Linked DNA regions of Anolis sagrei. The protein of the gene in region 1 interacts with the protein of each later gene in a pairwise test. Links are inferred from orthologs where the notes say so. Each region holds a gene or a part of one and is shown in the gene's direction. Other genes may lie near its edges.

Region 1 (10,398 bases):
TGACTGGATTGACCTTGAAGGGGGTGGTGACAGCCGACAGGGAGCTCTGGTGTGGGCTGGTCCATGAGGTCATGAAGAGTCGGAAACGACTGAATGAATGAACAGCAACAAACTCTTTGGGAAATTGGAAATGCCAGAATAAGTTGGAGAAATTCTAATAAATGGATTGGAAATGGTTTCAGCAAACCCAGTGATGCATCCATAAGGTAGAATTAATGCAGTTTGAAACCACTTCAACTTCCCTGGTTCAGTGCTATGGAATCATAGCAGTTGCAGTTTGGTGAGTAACCTGCAATTCTTGGCAGAGATGGCTAAAGACCTTGTAAGGTACAACTCCCATAGTATTGAGCCATAGCAATTGAAGCAGTGTCAAAGTACATTCATTCTACAGTGTAGATGCACCCCAGAGTTTAACCATAATCATTTGCTAATCTTTTAAAAAACAAACTATGTCCAGTTATTTCGTTAGGAGAAGGATCACAGGGATAAGATAGCTTTCTGTTCTTTAGTAAGAGCTCCTGGCATGAAAGCGTGGGCGGCGAGTTCATTCTTGAAAGAGACAGCCCCAGTTCACAGTCTTGCCAAACTCATTCCAGCTACAGACCTGGAGTCACAAAACAATTTCCTCCTCTGCTCTTTTCATTGGCTGAAGGGCTCTCCTCCCCTTGCGCATGGCTTTTAGCCTTCTGTTCGCTTAGGGACAGTAAGCAAATTAGTGCATTTTCTCGTTTATGCAAACAAAATGTAAAAAAAAAAAGTCCCTTCCACACAGCTGAATAAAATCCTACAATTATCTGTTTTTAAACTGGGATATATGACAGTGTGGACTCAGATATTCCAGTTCAAAACAGATATTGTAGGTTATTTTGCCTTGATATTCTTGGTTATATGGCTGTGTGGAAGGACCCAATGGTCTGAAGAAACATCCACAATAAACAAGACATGTTTATTTTACCTGTAGCATTTGGGAAGGGTTCAGGTACATCTATACTATGGAAATTAATGCGGTTTGACACAACTTTGACTGCCATAGCTCAGTATTATGGAATCATAGGAGTTTAGTTTTAGAAGATCTCTGGCCTTCTCTACCAGAGTGCAGGTGCCTCGCCAAACTACAATTCCCAGGATTTTGTATCATTGAGCCATGGCAGTTAAAGTGGATGGTGTGTATATGCATCACAGAGACTGACCTCAAAATGCATTAATTCTACAGTGCAGAGGCTTGCTTCAAACTGCATTAAGTAGGCAGTACATATGGGGCCAAAGTCCAGGGATACTATGAAATAGACACTATAATGGGCATGAGAATGATCTGAGTGTGGACTTAGATAACCCAATTTAAAGCATATCTTGTGGGATTTTCTGCCTTGATATTCTGGGATATTCTGTGTGGAAGGGCCCCAAATTGCATGGTGAAACTGATCAAGGAAAGGGCACTCCAGTAATCTACATGCCGCGATGAACATGCATAGATGGACCCCCCCCCCCCCCCAAATTACCAGCCATAAAGCCATGGATCCTGGAACCAATTTGAGGTCAGTCTCTGTGATGCATATACACACCATCCAGGCCTCAAAGTAGTTCCAGGATTTCACATGTAATTATCTGCACAATGAAATTGTTTCTTCCTTTGTTGGTTTCTCACCACCTAAGTGATCAGTATAGGTGTGCCTCAGGGTTCAAATCCCTGCTCAGCCATGGAAACCCACTGAATGACCTTGATAAGTCACATGCTCCCCCCCCCCCCCAAATATCCCAAGATAGGGTCTCCTTAAGTCAGAACCGACATGAAAGGACACAACGGGGCTGGATTAGCCATTAAGCAAAACAAACATGTGCTTAAGGCATCAAGGGAAGGGAAGCACCACTGAAAAATTCCATTGCTGGATTTACCATGGACCCTATGGTGCAAAAGTGCAATTAGTGCCGCTAAACCACATTCCACAAAAAAAAGACTCCCACAATAAAAGATTTTGCAATCAGAAGAAGTAGGGGGAAACTTTTCAAAGAAAAATAAAGTGGAAGTATAAAAAACATTATTTTCCATTTCATTGTAAGTTTTGTTTCATTTCCAAAAAATGTATGTTTTGTTATTGTTAATATTTTATTTATTTATTTATTTACAGCTTTTATATTCCACCCTTCTCACCCTGCAGGGGACTCAGGGCGGATTACAGTGTACACATATATGGCAAACATTCAATGCCAATTTTTGACATACAATTTTTGACATATAAATTTTGAACTGGAGATGTATTATATATATATATAGCAGCACCAAAACATTTAAAGTGCTTACTGACTCGAACGGGCTGAATCCAACACTCCTTTCAACCTTAGAAAACCCAATTATCAGTTTGTCTTAGGCAGGCCCTATGAACATGGACCATTTAATCCAGTACAAAGCTAGCTTTGAACTGTGGTGGCCAGACAACAAACACCCACAAAAGCATGTGAAAGAAAATCCTTAATGCTCATCAGTATCCATGGCTTGTGAACTCATCAACTGGACCTCAAAATGGTTCCAGGGTTTCCTATGTAATCATCTGCACAGTGAAACCATTTTTTTCAATACTGGTTTGAAACAGCATTAAATAGTTCATGTAGATGGGGCCTCAGAGTGGCACACAAGAACAATACATAAAGACAATAAAAATAAAGCTGGGACAGGCGCCAAATTGTCCTCGTGGGCTCAAAAACACCCATGAAGAATAGTCAGCATACTCAATCATGAGAGATGCAATTGAATCATCTGGAGGGTTCCACATTCCTCATATCTAGATAAAAGAAAACGCTGATATGCTGTATTATGACATAGCGAAATACAACAAACAGTATATTCACTTGGCCGTACAATGCAGTCTATACAGTCTATATACCAGATAGTTCTAGTATATCTATCTTAACTCATATTTATTGAGTATCTCACCTTTCTCTTGACATGGGACCCAATGTTAAAAGAAGACTGAAGTAAAACCTCATGGTAAAAAAGGAGAACATAAATAAGCTGTCACGTTTGCACTTCAAGAACAATAACAAGGGCAGCACACACATCCCATTGAGGGTACATCTACACTGTAGAATTAATGCGGTCTGACATCAGTTTAGCTGCCACGGCTCAATGCTATGTAGTTTGGTGAGGCTCCAGCTCATTTCAGCAAAGAAGACGAAAGACCTTGAAAAATTACAACTCCCTTGACTCTAACACGTGCCATTTTCCCCATAATATTAGAGAAAACATTTTGTTTCCAGGGACAAAGGCTAAGAAAGTCCCTCTTTCTGTTTTGTGAAGAAAAAATCTATCCAATGTATAGCTGAAGAAAGAGACATCATCTTGCATTGCCCCTGAGGGTAGTACACAGTTCTTAAACTGCTGCAAATTACTTTCTGTGGCCTATAAATGAATCAAGCAGGTCCAGACCTGCTATTAGTGAGAGCATAATGTGGTTGCTCGAGGTAGCAGATGTGTTTATATATTTCTAGAGTCTTTTTCTGTCTCCTGGCTGTTCATACACTTCTCAGAAAAACATCCTTGTGGAGGATCCTTATCTTGGGTGGGTTGGCAATCAATTTGAGGTACAAACTTTGGTCCTCCAGGTGTTTTGGACTTCCAGCTGTTAGGATTTGTGGGAGCTGAAGTCCAAAACACCAGGAGGGCCAAAGTTTGCCAATGCCTGGTCTACATTGTAGAATTAATGCAGTTTGCCACCACTTGCACTCCTCTATACTATGGAATCCTGAGAGTTTCAGTTTGGTGAGGCACCAGCTCTGTTTGGCAGAGAAAGGCCATAGCAGTTCAAGTGGTGTCAAACTGCATTAATTCTACAGTGTAGATGCACTCTAGGACTCTTGGGGAGGGGACCTGGGTTCAGCTATGAAAACCCATAATATGTGATTAGCCACAGAGTAGCCATTGAAATCCACAAGCATGTGGACAATTTTAACAGAAAGAAACCATGAAAATGAACAAAATCTGGCTGCCAGTATTAAAAAAAACCTCTAAAATTGAAACAGTAAATAAAAAACAAAACTCAAACACAGGGGAACTCCAGACAAGAAACCATCAGGAACACCTAATCACCTCTCAAGAAAGGAATTTCCTGGGCAGTAACAAGCCACACCTAAAAATTATCAGGCCATCAAATGCTAATCAAGGTGGCCAATTGAAACATTCATACCTAGCTCCAATAAACAAGAGTTCTTTCTCCCACCCTGGACCTTCCACAGATATATAAATCCAATTTCCTTAGTTTCCAACAAACCTCACAACCTCTGAGGATGCTTGCCACAGATAAAGGTGAAACGTCAGAAGAGAATGCTTCTAGAGCATGGCCATACAGTCCGATAAATCTACAACAACCCAGTGATTCCAGCCATGGAAGCCTTCGACAATACATAAATAAAGTGTATTATTATGATTATGATTATTATTGTTGTTGTTGAAAAATGAGTTGTACATTCTTTATTTCCCCTTCTTACTTCTCTGCTGAGTAAATGGATACTATGAAGTAACACACCTCACAACCTCTGAGGATACCTGCCATAGATGTAGGCGAAACGTCAGGGGCGCATGCTTCTGAAACATGGCCATACAGTGGGGGTCCTCAAACTAAGGCCCGGGGGCCGGATACGGCCCTCCAAGGTCATTTACCCGGCCCTCACTCAGTCAACCTAAGTCTGAAATGACTTGAAAGCATACAACAATCCTATCTCATCAGCCAAAACCAGGCCCACACTTCCCATTGGAATACTAATAAATTTATATTTGTTTAAATTGTTCTTCATTTTAATTACTGTATTGTTTTAAAGTGTTTTTTGCACTACAAATAAGATATGTGTACTGTGCATAGGAATTCATTCATGCTTTTTTCAAATTATAATCTGGCCCTCCAACACTTTGAGGGACTGTAACCTGGCCTTCTGTTTAAAAAGTTTGAGGACCCCTGTTCTAGAGGCATTCTCTCCTGATGTTTCGCCTGCACCTATGGCAAGCATCCTCAGAGGTAGTGAGGTCAGACCTTACTACCTCTGAGGATGCTTGCCATGAATGCAGGCAAAACGTCAGGAGAGAATCCCTCTAGAACATGGCCATATGGCCATATAGCCCGAAAAAACCTACAACAACCCCATAAAGTGTATTATTATAATTATGATTATTATTGTTGTTGTTGCGGAAAAATGAGTTGTACATTCTTTATTTTAATTACTACAAGAGAGGAGATTCCATCTGAACATTAGGAAGAACTTCCTGACTGTGAGAGCCGTTCAGCAGTGGAACTCTCTGCCCCGGGGTGTGGTGGAGGCTCCTTCTTTGGAGGCTTTTAAGCAGAGGCTGGATGGCCATTTGTCAGGGGTGATTTGAATGCAATATTCCTGCTTCTTGGCAGGGGGTTGGACTGGATGGCCCATGAGGTCTCTTCCAACTCTATGATTCTATGATTCTATGATTCTATTTCCTCTTCTTACTTCTCTGCTGAGTAAATGGATACTATGAAGTAACACACCTCACAACCTCTGAGGATGCCTGCCATAGATGTAGGCGAAACGTCAGGGGAGCATGCTTCTGAAACAGGGCCATACAGCCTGGAAAACTCACAGCAACCCAAAGCTTCAGTGTTTCCTAGGGTTTGGGACTTCAGGTCCCGGAATCCCTTTTCAGTGGTACGAAACAGCTGAGGCTTTTGGGAGTTGAAGTCCACATTTGGCAGAGCTAGAGTCTAGGTTGAGAACCACTAGCCGGAAGTGACTTGAAGGCACACGGCAGCAACGAAGGGGTTAACGTGTTGCCGCCTCCTCCTCCTCTTCTGTCGCTTTGCGGCACGGCCTGAGAGTGGCACGTTGCTTCCGCTCCCTAACTGATTCAGGGCGGGAAAGAAGGGGAGGAGGGGGGCCTCTTGCGCATGCGCGGCGCGTGGAGGGCGGTCTCGCGCTGCGGCAGCCCAGCGGCTCGGTTTCCTTTGAGGCAGAAGCGAGGAAGGAAGGAAGCGAGCCAGGAAGGTGAGTGGGCGCAACAGGCCGAGCGACCGTTAGACGGGTCTGTGTGTGAGGACCAGGGCCAGGAGCCACGGCTGAAACCAAAAAAGGGAGAAAGAGAGAGAAAGAAAGTCACCAAAAGGCAGCCCGTCTCGCTTATTATGTTCTGCCTCTCACGGCCCTTCTTTTCTGTGGGGTCTTCAAGCCTGGCAAAGAGTACTGGGGCCTCACCAAGTTACAACTCTCATGATTCCATAACCGTTGAAAGGGGGTATTAAACTGCACTCTTTCTCAGGGAGCTCTGATTTAATTAAACCTTCTCTTTCTCTCTGGGTTCATCTTCACTGTAGAATTAATACAATTTGGTGCCTCTTTAACCACCCTGCTTGAATGCTATGTTGCTGTGGGATTTGTAGTTTGGGGAGGCACCAACACACTTTGGCAGAGAAGGGTAAAGACTTTGCAAGACTACAACTCCTAGGATTCAATTTCAATGAGCCATAGCAGTTGAAGAAGAAGAAGCAGAAGAGGAGGAAGAAGAAGAGGAGGAAGCAGCAGCAGCAGAAGAAGCACAAGAACAAGAACTACTTTATTTTTCTACTCCACCTCCATCTCCCCGAAGGGACTCGGGGAGACATATAATAGCATAAGAAATAGCATGGGAACAGAGCAATTAAACAGTATCGGGATTAGTATCAGGGACTTTGTAGTTTGGGGAGGCACCAACACACTTTGGCAGAGAGGGGTAAAGACTTTGCAAAACTACAACTCCTAGGATTCAGTTTCAATGAGCCATAGCAGTTGAAGAAGAAGAAGCAGAAGAGGAGGAAGAAGAAGAGGAGGAGGAAGCAGCAGCAGAAGAACAAGAACTACTTTATTTTTCTAGTCAGCCTCCATCTCCCCGAAGGGACTTGGGGAGATGTATAATAGCATAGGAAATAGCATGGGAACAGAGCAATTAAACAGTATCAGGATTAGTATCAGGGACTTTGTAGTTTGGGGAGGCACCAACACACTTTGGCAGAGAAGGGTAAAGACTTTGCAAGACTACAACTCCTAGGATTCAATTTCAATGAGCCATAGCAGTTGAAGAAGAAGAAGCAGAAGAGGAGGAAGAAGAAGAGGAGGAAGCAGCAGCAGCAGAAGAAGCACAAGAACAAGAACTACTTTATTTTTCTACTCCACCTCCATCTCCCCGAAGGGACTCGGGGAGACATATAATAGCATAAGAAATAGCATGGGAACAGAGCAATTAAACAGTATCGGGATTAGTATCAGGGACTTTGTAGTTTGGGGAGGCACCAACACACTTTGGCAGAGAGGGGTAAAGACTTTGCAAAACTACAACTCCTAGGATTCAGTTTCAATGAGCCATAGCAGTTGAAGAAGAAGAAGCAGAAGAGGAGGAAGAAGAAGAGGAGGAGGAAGCAGCAGCAGAAGAACAAGAACTACTTTATTTTTCTAGTCAGCCTCCATCTCCCCGAAGGGACTTGGGGAGATGTATAATAGCATAGGAAATAGCATGGGAACAGAGCAATTAAACAGTATCAGGATTAGTATCAGGGACTTTGTAGTTTGGGGAGGCACCAACACACTTTGGCAGAGAAGGGTAAAGACTTTGCAAAACTACAACTCCCAGGATTCAATTTCAATGAGCCATAGCAGTTGAAGAAGAAGAAGAAGAGGTAGCAGCGGAGGAAGAGGAGGAAGAAGAAGAGGAGGAGGAGGCAGCAGAAGAAGAAGAAGCAGAAGAACAAGAACTACTTTATTTTTCTACTCCGCCTCTATCTCCCCAAAGGGACTCGGGGAGATGTATAATGGCATAGGAAATAGCATGGGAACAGAGTAATTAAACAGTATCAGGATTAGTATCAGGGACTTTGTAGTTTGGGGAGGCACCAACACACTTTGGCAGAGAAGGGTAAAGACTTTGCAAAACTACAACTCCCAGGATTCAATTTCAATGAACCATAGCAGTTGAAGAAGAAGAAGAAGAAGAGGCAGCAGCGGAGGAAGAGGAGGAGGAGGAGGAGGAGGAAGCAGCAGCAGCAGAAGAACAAGAACTACTTTAGTTTTCTACTCCACCTCCATCTCCCCGAAGGGACTCGGGACGGCTTACATGATGCCAAGCCCAGGCAGAATACAATTAAAAACAGAACAATACCAAATTTCAAATTAAAAATAGCATAAAACAGCATAACAGTAGTAAGCAAGCATCAAGCAACAACAGACTAATTTTGGAGGGGAGGTGGGAGGAAGGAGGCCAGTATGCGAAACTGGTTAAAGCAGTGGTTCTCAACCTGTGGGTCCCCAGGTGTTTTGGCCTACAACTCCCAGAAATCCCAGCCAGTTTACCAGCTATTAGGATTTCTGGGAGTTGAAGGCCAAAAACATCTGGGGACCCCAGGTTGAGAACCACTGAGTCAAAGGGTAAGTGTTTCAATAAGGTGGATGAAAACATATAATAGCATAGGAAATAGCATGGAAACAGAGCAATTAAACAGCATCAGGACTGTGGCGCAGCTGGCTGAGTGTCAGCTGCATTAAGATCACTTCTGACCAAAAGGTCATAAGTTCGAAGCCAGCCCGGCTCGGAGTGAGCTTCCGACCAATTGTGTAGCTTGTTGTCGACCTTTGTAACCCAAATGACAGTTGCATCTGTCAAGTAGGAAAATTAGGTACCACCTATGTGTGGGGAGGCTAATTTAACTAATTTATGAGGCCATAAAATGACTCCAGCAAAGCACTCCAGCAAAAGCATGTAGGGAATGCAGAAGTACTTCATCAGTGTCGCATATGGACGATGAAAGCAACAGCTCCCCTGGCAGCCAGAAAAGTTAAATAGCCTCTGACTGTCGGTCTATATGTGTTGCGTGTCTTTGGCATTGAATGTTTGCCATATATGTGTACATTGTAATTCGCCCTGAGTCCCCTGTGGGGTGAGAAGGGCGAAATATAAATACTGTAAGTAAGTAAATAAATAAATAAATTTAGCTTAACTTACAAATATGAGTAGTAATATAATATAGGAATTCAGATTAAGTCATTAAGGTCATGATGGTATCAAACTGCATTGATTTTGCAGTGTGGACTGGGCACACCTTCTGCCTGTGCCTTTGGTAAGTGCTGTATGAATAGCTGGCTGAGACCCCTTTCGCACAGCTAAATAAAATCACACATTTTCTGCTTTGAACTGGAATATATGGTAGTGTGGACTCAGATAACCTAGAGGCTCAGATAACCTAGAGGCTGCCTTCCACATAGCCCTCTATCCCAGAATATCAAGGCAGAAAATCCCACAATATCTGAGTGCAGACTCAGATAACCCAGCTCAAAGCAGATATTTTGGGATTTTCTGCCTCAACATTCTGAGTTATATGGTTGTGTTGAAGGGCCCTGAGTGTAAAACCCCAAGTCCCTCTCTCCAAATAGACATTATTAAAAGGGATGCATGAAGTCAAAAGGCTCTCACACAATCTCCCAGGTGTCTTTCTAGTGGCACATATGCATTGTCGAACAAATGTAGTTTGACAGCACTTTAACAGCCATGGTGCTATGCTGTGGAACCTTGTGATTTGTACTCTGTTGAGCCACCAGCACTCATTCACCGAGAAGGCTAAAGACGCTGTAAAACAAAAATAGCATTGAACCATGTCAGTTAAAGTGGTATTAATTTTTCAGTGCAGATGTACCTTATAACACTGGAGCAGAGGAGATTGCATTAACTGTACAGTGTAGATGAGCTCTGGGGCCCCTTCCACAAAGCTGAATAAAATTCCACATTTTCTGCTTTGAATTGGAATATATGGCAGAGTGGACTCTGATAACCCAGGGCCCTTCCACACAGCCCTATATCCCAGAATATCAAGGCAGAAAATCCCACATTATCTAAGTGTGGATTAAAATAACCCAGTTCAAAGCAGATATTGTGGGATTTTCTGCCTTGGTATTCTGGGATATAGGGCAGTGTGGAAGGGCCCCTAGTTCAAAGCAGATATGGTGGGATTTTCTGCCTTGATATTCTGGGTTATATGGCTGTGTGGAAGGGCACGGGATGTCCTTTTTTTTCCTCTACAGAATCACATGGGTTGACATAGGGCCCTTCCACATAGCCATATAACCCAGAATATCAAGGCAGAAAATCTCACAATATCTGATTTGAACTGAGTTATCTAAGGGGCCTTCCAGACAGGCCTTTTATCCCAGGATCTGATCCCTAGTTTTCTGTTTATCCCAGATTATTTGGCAGTGCGGACATATATAATCCAATTTAAAGCAGAAAACCTGGGATCAGATACTGGGATATAGGGCTGTCTGGAAAGGCCCTGAGTCCACACTGCTATACATTGCAGTTCAAAGCAGATAATGTAGAATTTTATTTATCTGTGTGGAAGGAGCCATAGTATTTTTTTTCTGTTAGAGGAT
Region 2 (10,195 bases), on another chromosome or scaffold:
GGAGAAGGAAGGTAAGGAGAGCGAGGGAGCAGCTCTTCTTCCCCCCTCACCCTCCTTACCTTCCTCATCATTCTCCTCTTTGCTGCCTGGGGCCTCTTGCTGCGACGCTGCATGGGGCCCAAGCTGCAGCAAGAGGCCCCAGGCGGCAAAGAGGAGGAGGAAGAGGAAGGTAAAGAGGGTGAGGGGTGGTTCTTCTTCCCCCCTCACCCTCCTTACCTTCCTCATCCTCCTCCTCTTCGCTGCCTGGGGCCTCTTGCTGCGACACCGCATGGGGTCCAAGCGGCAGCAAGAGGCCCCAAGCGGCAAAGAGGAGAATGATGAAGAAGGTAAGGAGGGTGAAATTATTTTCTTTTTTAAAAACCCCATGAAACAGCAAGTCTGCGATAAGTGGACCACAAAGGAGTGAGGGACCACTGTAGTCTTCTTTAAAAATAACATCTCAGGTTTACTAACAAACTTCTTGTATATTTGGGAGCTGGACTTCAGAGAAGGCTGAGCAAAGGAAGATAGATGCTTTTGAACTGTGGTGTTGGAGGAAAGTTCTGAGAGTGCTTTGGACCGCGAGAAGATCCAACCAGTCCATCCTCCAGGAAACAAAACCCGACTACTCATTGGAGGGAAGAATATTAGAGACAAAGATGAAGTACTTTGGCCACATCATGAGAAGACAGGAAAGCTTAGAGAAGACAATTATGCTGGGAAAAATGGAAGGAAAAAGGAAGAGGGGCTGACAAAGGGCAAGATGGATGAATGGTATCCTTGAAGTGACTGGATTGATCTTGAAGGAGCTGGGGGTGGTGACGGCCGACAGGGAGCTCTGGCATGGGCTGGTCCATAAGGTCACGAAGAGTCAGAAACGACTGAACGAATGAACAACAACAAAGTCAATAGTCGAATGTCTTTAAGATACAGATATAGTCCAAACTGTATAACCATACTCACTGAAGTCTGAAAATCATACTTCTCTACTAAAGTCCAGACAGCAACATGCATCCACCTCCACTGAGGTCTGATGCAAACTGGATAACAAACATGGAGTTCTGTGCCTGAAGCTCCTTCACACCAAAGAGGTACAGTTAAACTGGCAAACCAAAATGTACATACAATATAGGTTAACAATTATACACATTTACAAACAGTTACTGGAGGCTTGGAAAGTTGCTATTTCCAACAAAAAGTGTCCATTTGCATGGGGGAGAAAATGACACCTTTGCTTTACAATGGCTCAGTGTACACAAATTTTGTTTCATGCATAACTTAATCAAGAAATAAAATTACCATCAGGCAATGTGTGTAAGGTGCATGTGAAACATAAATGAACTCTATGTTTGGACTTGATCTATATTTTACAAGTATGGTAAGGTGTGAGAACAGGGAGAAGTGTATGAATTGGGGTGTTGGGTTGCTGATTGGTTCATGAAAGAAGATGTCAGAAGGGAAAATGTGATAGTTAGGGAAGGAGAGTGCAAGAAATGGCAGGTGGGCTGGAGAGAACATACAGCCCACTGTTGGGAACTTGTACCAGTCAGATAATAATAGCTCAGCCTTTGACTTTTTCCTGCTTAACTGTGGTGTACATGTAGAAAGGGAAAGGCTATGTTCCCAAAAACCATATAGTAGAAGGGGTGTGTTATAATGTATCCTTTTGCTCCTGAGAAATGAACTCATGCAGAGATAGCACCACAAGCTACTTTTAAAGCCAGGGTGCATCTACACTACATGTAGTCTCCATGTGGTCTATGCTTATTTAGAGGAAGATCTACAAACCACATTGAGCCGTAGTAATTCAAGTCATATCAAACTACATTCATTCTTTAGTGCAACCTCAGTGATCGCATACCTTCTTTGATTATTCAGTCTGTGGTCAGTCAGTAGTGATTATAAAATTGGGGCCAGTGCAATTCTCACAATGTTAGTTATTTGTGTCTGTAATACATTATACAGTATAGTATATATTCACAGTAAAGTAAAATTTAATTATGTATATACAGTACATTATACAATATTATATAATATAGCATTAAAATTATTTTTACTTATAGTACTGGCCTCCTGATGGCGTTAAAGTGGGTTAAAGCGCTGAGTTGCTGAACTTGCTAACTGAAAGGTTGGCAAGTCAAATCCAGGGAGCTGGCTGAGCTCCCGCTGTTAGGCACAACTTTTGCCAACCTAGCAGTTCGAAAACATGCAAATGAGAGTAGATCAATAGGTACTGCTCCAGCAGGAAGGTAACAGTGCTCCATGCAGTCATGCCGGTTACATGACCTTGGAGGCATCTATCGACAATGCCAGCTCTTTGGCTTAGAAATGGAGATGAGCACTACCCACCAGAGTCAGACACAACTAGACTTAATGTCAGGGGAAACTTTTACCTTACTGTACAGTAGTCACATTGGCAACTAAGTGCAATGATGAAGCTAAAATAACTTTTGCACATGTTGAAAAGTGATGTATAGCATTTATTTTTTACATTTTTGGTAGCCAAAATGCAGTGAAGAGCTTTGAAAAGACTGGGTTCCTCTTTTCAACCAATTCTGTTTCCTAACATTGCTCTGGTGCTTAACCCATAGGATGAATGGGGGCTTCCTGAAACTAGAAATGATTGGCCCCTTGGTGTGAATTATTCAAGCTAAGGAAAACACTCCCTTGAGCATAGCACCTGTGGCAATAGCATAGACAAGGAGGTCCCGTAAGATTTCTGACAGATAACAGGGAGAGACAGAAACCAAAGAAATCCAGCTCTCTACTTTAAGAAAATAATTTTCTATATCTCACTAACCTGCACTCCTTAAAACTCCCTTGCTCCCTTTCCCTTACTCATTTGAAGGACTCATTCCATAACTTACTACTATAACTGTCTCACTTATCCTAACCATGGATTGGAATCTGTGTGGCTTTGAAGTTGTTGTTGGAGTGCAACTCCGAGCGGCTATAACAGGAACAAAGGTCAGGATTTGCATTCACTGAACTGGTCCATACGATTCCATAGGTTAAATGTCTTAACACTGTTCTTACAATTCACTATTCCCACCCACTACAATTTAATGCAGCTTAGAACTGGTATGGGAGGAACTGGTTTTGCTCTGCAGGTGATTAGATTGCCATGTCTGCAACCAGTTTGAAGTAAGGATGGTGATTATATTGAACCTGGCCTCTAAGCATTGTGCAGACTTTCCCCCCAATTTCTGTAGAGGTGCGCATCAGCAAATTAGGCATGTGGGATTTAAAAGTAGGGAGGGATTACCGTGAAGAGCAGAGGTGATCAATTACTACTCAAAGACAGTCAATTAGTCATGCCCTGGGTGGGGGGGTCTTAGTAGCCCTCATTCTGGTTTATTTACTGTGCTTCAGCAGCAGTGGGTATCTGCAGTGCACTCTGCATTTTGTGGAGCCAATTTTGCCCTGGACCTCGGATACACTGGTATTTGTTGCGGTGCATTCCCTGCAACTTTTAAAAATGTACTGTATGTTCTCTTTAATGTGTGCTGCAGTGCGCACTGGCGGCATGTGTTTTGTGGCCTCCGTGATTTCATTTTAAAGCACTATTGAGTGCTTTCCGTAAGCCACCCTGAGTCCCTTTGGGGAGATGGTGGTGGGATACAAATAAAGTGTTGTTGTTGTTGGGTTGTTGTGGGTTACATGGCCATGTTCTAGAAGCATTCTCTCCTGACATTTCACCTGCATCTATGGCAGGCATCCTCATAGGTGAGGTTGTGTTGTTGTTGTTGTTGTTGTTGGCTGCATTATGCTGTTTGGATAGATGGGGCCTGCCTCTCCAAATGTGTTCCAAAGACCAAAAATGGTTCCAATAACTCTTCTGTAACTCACTCTGTTTTACTAACTAACTCTAACTCCAATTCATTGTCTCTGTCATTGGCTTACTTCCCACAAAAGCCATCTTTCAGTAAGATTTCATAAAAGCCAGCCAGAAGGGGATGCATCACAATGGAAGACATGTCTCCATTATTTAGCAATCAGGCTCAAAAATGTGAAGATACGTCTTCAATTGTGTCTTGAGTTCTGACAGCTCCCAGGATTCTGTTGCATTGAGCCATGGCACTTAAAGTGGTGTCGTACCACATTGTAGAAGCATCCCAAGAGATTTTGAACTAGAGCGGTGCAGACTTGCCATTTCAGTCTTAAGCAGAAGCTTTGTGCTGGACTATTTTGAACTGTCTTAGAGCGCATCAATATTGTGGAACGCAGTTTGATACCACAATGTCTCAATGCTATGCTATCCTGGGAGTTGTAGTTTGGTGAGCCATCAGCACTTTTTGAAAGAGAAGACTACAAACTCCCCGGATTCCATAGAATCGAACCATGGCACTTAAAAGGGGTGTCGAACTGCATTAATTTTACAGTGTAGAAGCATCCTTGCTCTTTGTGAACTGTATAAAACAACAACAACAATAATATCCTGATTCTGTCTTGATTGAAAAACAATGCGGTTCACAACATTTTAAAAAATGTGTGATTTAAAAACCACAACACACAAATATGGAAATAGGTAGGTAAATAGTTTATTCAATGCTTAGACCATAGGTCTTTCACACACAGGACAGATAAACAAATACATAAAAACCAGATTATAAAATACAATACAAAATGCAACATTGAAATACTATATATATAATTAGGATCATTAAAATGCTACATAAATAATATAATTACAGTAATAATAAAAGTATATATATATACTAGCCATCCCCTGCCACGTGTGTGTGTATGTGTGTATATATATATGGGTGTATATATTTGTGTATATCTGTAAATGCATATTGCGTATATGTGTGTGCTTGTCTACATGCATATTTGTGTGTATATATGTATGCATGTGGATATGTATATGTGCATGAATATGTACATGTGTATAAGTATATATATGTGTGTGTATGTATATGTATGTGTGTATGTTTGTGTGCGTGCGTATATATACATGTGTGTGTGTATGAATGTGTGCATATGTATATGAGTGTATATGTATATGTAATGTATTTTTGTGGTTTTAAAGTCTGTTCCACTGGGGTTTTGTGTGTATGTGTTTATGAGTGATGGACATTCGTTGGACTGTTAGGTGTATTGTGTCCAAATTTTGTGTCAATTCGTCCAGTGGTTTTTGAGTTATGTTAATCCCACAAATGAACATTACATTTTTATTTATATAGATATTATTAAAATCATTAAAATGCTATAATAATAATAATAATAATAATAATAATAATATCGAACTGCAAAGACTCTGGCACAAGCCAGTCAAGGTGGTCCCAGTGGTGATCGACACACTGGGTGCAGTGTCTAAAGACCTTGGCCTGCACTTAAACACAATCAGCACTGACAAAATTACCATCTGCTATCTGCAAAAGGCCACCTTACTGGGATCTGCACACATTATTAGCCGATACATCACACAGTCCTAGACACTTGGGAAGTGTCCGACGTGTGATCCAGTACAACAGCCAGCAGAGTGATCTTGTCTGCTGTGGCCTCATCTTGTTATATTTCTAATAATAATAATAACAATAACAATAATAATAGAATTGAATCTTGTTTGCTGTGGACTCATCTTGTTCTGTTTTAATAATAATAATGATGATGATGATAATAATTGAATTGAACCTTGTTTGCTGTGGACTCATCTTGTTGTGTTTCAAATAATAATAATAATAATAATAATAATTATAATTATTATTATTATTATTATTATTTATATACCGCCCTATCTCCCCAAAGAGACTCAGGGCTGTTTCCAGTCAAAAATGGCCAAAATTAAATGCCAGAATACACTAACAATGAGAAACAAACAAACAAATAAACAAGTCCAGAATCCTCTTAACCTAGTGGTTGAGAAACTTTGATCTTCCAGATGTGTTGGACTTCATCTCCCAGAATCCCATGCCTTTGGCCAAGTTGGTTGCGACTTCTGGGAGTTGAAGTCCAAAAGAAGACCAAAGTTTGGGAGGAAGAAGGCAAAAGCGCCTCCTTCCTCTCCAGGCGCAAAATTGCAAGGGTGCCTTTCCTTCCCTTGGTTTTGCGTCTTTTTTCCTTTTCGAACTTTAGCCACGCTCCCTGGGCTTTGGCCCTTCCATTGGTTAAGAAAGGGAGCCCTGCAGTACCCGACATCGTCCGCTGGGGGCGCTGTTTCCAATCCGGTCCCGCGCGAGTCCGGGGCGTTTTGTGGGTGTCTCTGCTTGTCTCCAAACGGGATCTTTGCCTCCTTTTTCTTTTCTATCGTGGCGTGGGATTGCCTTTTCTCTCTCTTGTGGATCGTGGAAGGACGGATCCAACAGCTTGAAGGTAAGACTCTCTTTGAAAAAACCGGGGGAGCACGTTGTTCCTCTCCCCAACTCAACCAAATCCACGATCCCGCGTGATTATTTGGCTGCCTCGCCCCATTGGGGTCTGGGATCGCTTTCAGAGGGAAGCCCAGCGTGGAAGGAAGGAGTCGTGCGTGGGTATTTCTTTCTCGTGTCCCAGCCAAAGAGGAGGGGGAGAGGGCGCCTCTCGGATTGTGCAACAGATTGGAGTCGTCAAAAGTTGGCTCCTTGCTTCCCTTTCTTTGGAAGAGAATAGGAAGCCAGCCTCGTGGGGATCAAGGACTCCCCTGCATCATAGGACAGAATACTTGAACTGCCCTGTCTCCATGCTATATGGGAGTTGTAGTTTGGGTTGTTTGAGGATAGCCCCAAACCCATTCGACTCAAGGAGCATCTACACTGTAGAATTAATATAATTGCACACCACTTTTAATTGCCGTGTCTCAATGCTCTGGGGATCCTGAGAGTTGTAGTTTGGTGACCTTGTCAAACTACAATTCCCAGGATCCCCATAGTACTTGGACATGGGAGTTGCAACTGCATGGATTCTACACTGTAGATGCATCCATGGCTGAATGGTATGGGGATCCTGGGAGTTGTAGTTTGGTAGCCATTGTCAGACTAAAGACCTTGCCAAACTACAACTCCTAGGAACCTCATAGCGTTTAAACATGACAGTTCCAGTGGTGTCAAACTGCAGGGATGCTATAGGGATCCTGAGAGTTGTAGTTTGGCGACTGTGTCAAACTAAAGAACTTGGCAAACTAGGATCCCCATAGTATTGAGACATGGCACTTCCAAGTGGTGTCAAACTGCATGGATGTTATGGGGGCCCTGGGAGTTGTAGTTTGGTAATCGTATCAAACTAAAGACTTTGCCAAACTACAACTCCCAGGATCCACATAGTATTGAGACATGGCAGTTAGTTGCAAGAGGTATCAAACTGCATAGATTCTACACTATGTAGATGCACCCTTGGCTGGATGCTATGGGGATCCTGGAAGTTGTAGTTTGGTGACCGTATCAAACTAAAGACATTGGCAAACTACAACTCCCAGGATCCTCATAGCATTGAGACATGGCAATTCCAGGTGGTGTCAAACTGCATGACTACAACTTCCAGGATCCCCATGGCATTGAGATATGGCAGTTCCAAGTGGTGTCAAACTGCAGGGATGCTATGGGGATCCTGGAAGTTATGGTTTGGTCACCTTGACAAACTAAAGACCTTGTCAAACTACAACTCCAGGTTCCCCATAGCATTGAGACATGGCAGTTCCAAGTGGTGTCAAACTGCAGGGATGCTATGGGGATCCTGGAAGTTGTAGTTTGGTCACCTTGACAAACTAAAGACCTTGTCAAACTACAACTCCCAGGTTCCCCATAGCATTGAGACATGACAGTTCCAAGTGGTGTCAAACTGCATGGATTCTGCACTTTAGATGCACCCATGGCTGAATGTTATGGGGATCCTGGGAGTTGTAGTTTGGTGTTAAACTAAAGACCTTGGCAAACTACAACTCCCAGGATCCCCATAGTATTGAGACATGGCAGTTCCACATGGTGTCAAACAGAATGCTATGGGGATCCTGCGAGTTTGACTTTGACAAGACCTTGTGCCTTCTCTGCCCAAGAGTGCTGGTGCCTCACTAAGCTACAAATCCCATGTTTCCATCGCATTATGGCCTGCCATTTCCATGTGGTGTCAAACTGGATCTATTCTAAAGTGAGTTTCTAATTCTATTTTAAATGGCAATGTTTATGTCTCGTTTTGCCTGGCCGAAGCATCAAATTGCAAAACTCTCTAGAAAGTTACTATTGTCATTAGGCCACACTTCTCTGTTATTAGGATCTTTCAAGGGGTTTGGGCATGTTTTGGGGGTAAATGTAAAAAAATGCAAAATCCAGAAGGACAAGTTTATTAATGCAGTATATACTTTGGGAAATCCTATATTTCTTTTTCCAAGGTTAGGCTCCTTGGGCCCTTGGCGTGCCTTGTGACTTGGGCTCCCTCTGCAGCACCCAAGGGCTGAGCGTGACTTGTTTGAATTGAATTAAAAGCCCGCAGAAAGAAGTGTGTGGCGGGGATGGGAAGTGCTCTGTTTCCAAAAGCTGTGCCTGGTTGGAGTAGTCATGCGCTGGGTTGTTGCCTCTTGCCTTGCCAAGGAAGGAGGATCACGGAGAGCAAATTAAAGTCCCTGTGGAGGCAGGGTGTGCATCTACACTATAATTAATTCAGTTTGACACCCCTTTCACTACATTTTCAGCAGGGAAACTGATGATGACGACGACGACGATACACACATTGAGTCTCTCTTAGCAGAAATGCTTGGGACCAAAAGTGTTTTGAGGTTCTGGAAGTTATAGTTTAGTAAGGCACATTCCCTCTTTGGCAGAGAAGCCTAAAGGTCTTGAAAAACTACAACTCCCATGATTAAATAGCACTGAGTTGTGGCAGTTAAAGGGTGCATCTACTACACTTGACCGAAAAGTCGCAGGTTCAAATCCGGTTTCTGCTGTCATGAGTTTCTGCTGTCAGCCCCAGCTTCTGCCAACCTGAAGCTGGGGCTGACATGCAAGTGTGAGTAGATCAATAGGTACCACTCCAGTGGGAAGGTAACGGCGCTCCATGCAGTCATGCAGGCCACATGATCTTGGAGGTGTCTACGGACAATGCTGGCTTCTGGCTTAGAAATGGAGATGACCACCAATCGGACACGACTGGACTTAATGTCAGGGGAAAACCTTTACCTTTACCTTACTACACTGTAGAATGAATTAGTCTATACTACGAGCTATCCTGGAGATGAGACCAGTGCGTAAACACAAAATTCATGGATGTTGCACATACATCTTAATACATTTGAGTAATTTTCTCCATCACTTGTTTCCATCATGTTGGTCATGAAACTATATGCATTAAATTATCACAAAAAGCAATCACATCCCTATGGGTGCATCTACACCAGTGGTTCCCAACCTTTGGGCCTCCAGGTCTTTTGGACTTCAACTCCCAGAAATCCCAGCCAGTTTACCAGCTGTTAGGAACTATGGGAGCCGAAGTCTAAAACACCTGGAGGCCCAAAGATTGGAGACCACTGATGTACACAGTAGAACGGGAGCAGTTTAACATCACTTTAACTATGAGGGCACAATGCTATGGATTTCCGGGAGTTGTAGTTTTGCAAGACCTTTAGCTGTCTCTGCCAAAGAGTGCTGTTGACTCCTTGAACTATAAATCCCAGGATTCCATAGCCTTATGCCATGGCAGTAGTGTCAAACTTTATTAAGTCTATAGCGTCCTATGTTAGATTTGCCCAATGTCAGTCTACAGATTTGTCCTATGTCAGCCACCCATATGGACAATTTTAGACTTTGGAATTCTAGCAAATGAATTCTCAAGCTGTAATAAATAATAATGATAATAATGAGCCCCTGGTGGCACAGTGGGTTAAACTGCCGAGCTGCTGAACTTACTGACCAAAAGGTCAGCGGTTCGAATCTGGGGAGCAGGGTGAGCTCCTGCAGTTGACCCTAGCAGTTTGAAAACATTCAGGTGTGAGTAAATTGGTACCGCTTCTGTGGGAAGGTAATGGCGCTCCATGCAGTCATGCCAGCCATATCTCGTCTTCCTTTACCTTTACCTGAATTAATAATAATATAATAATAATAATTAGTTTGGTGGGAAGTTAGCTAGAAATCTATTCTGGGACATCTGTTAAAAGTTTGGATTCTCCGCCTTTCTTTCAATGCAGTACATGATTTTGGAATAATGATGAATTGAAACACACCTACACAGAAGATGGGGGGGGGGGGGCATTGGGATGCCTTTAGAAAGTGCCTAGTGTCCTTTACATTTTTTATATACGAAGGAGTAAAGG

Evidence for each region.
Region 2: the proteins of NT5C2 (region 1) and MOB3B interact in binary tests that used the Homo sapiens proteins (3 or more experiments, as listed by UniProt). The two-hybrid records come from large-scale screens. The link is inferred for Anolis sagrei from reciprocal best matches to the Homo sapiens genes NT5C2 and MOB3B.

What each region holds. Positions count from the first base shown.
Region 1 is NC_090023.1:214,181,503-214,191,900, forward strand, and holds the start of NT5C2 (cytosolic purine 5'-nucleotidase), read left to right. Parts: upstream 1-5,889; 5' UTR 5,890-5,997; intron 5,998-10,398. UniProt on the Homo sapiens protein: Broad specificity cytosolic 5'-nucleotidase that catalyzes the dephosphorylation of 6-hydroxypurine nucleoside 5'-monophosphates.
Region 2 is NC_090022.1:202,404,316-202,414,510, reverse strand, and holds the start of MOB3B (MOB kinase activator 3B), read left to right. Parts: upstream 1-6,128; 5' UTR 6,129-6,294; intron 6,295-10,195. UniProt on the Homo sapiens protein: Modulates LATS1 expression in the Hippo signaling pathway which plays a pivotal role in organ size control and tumor suppression by restricting proliferation and promoting apoptosis.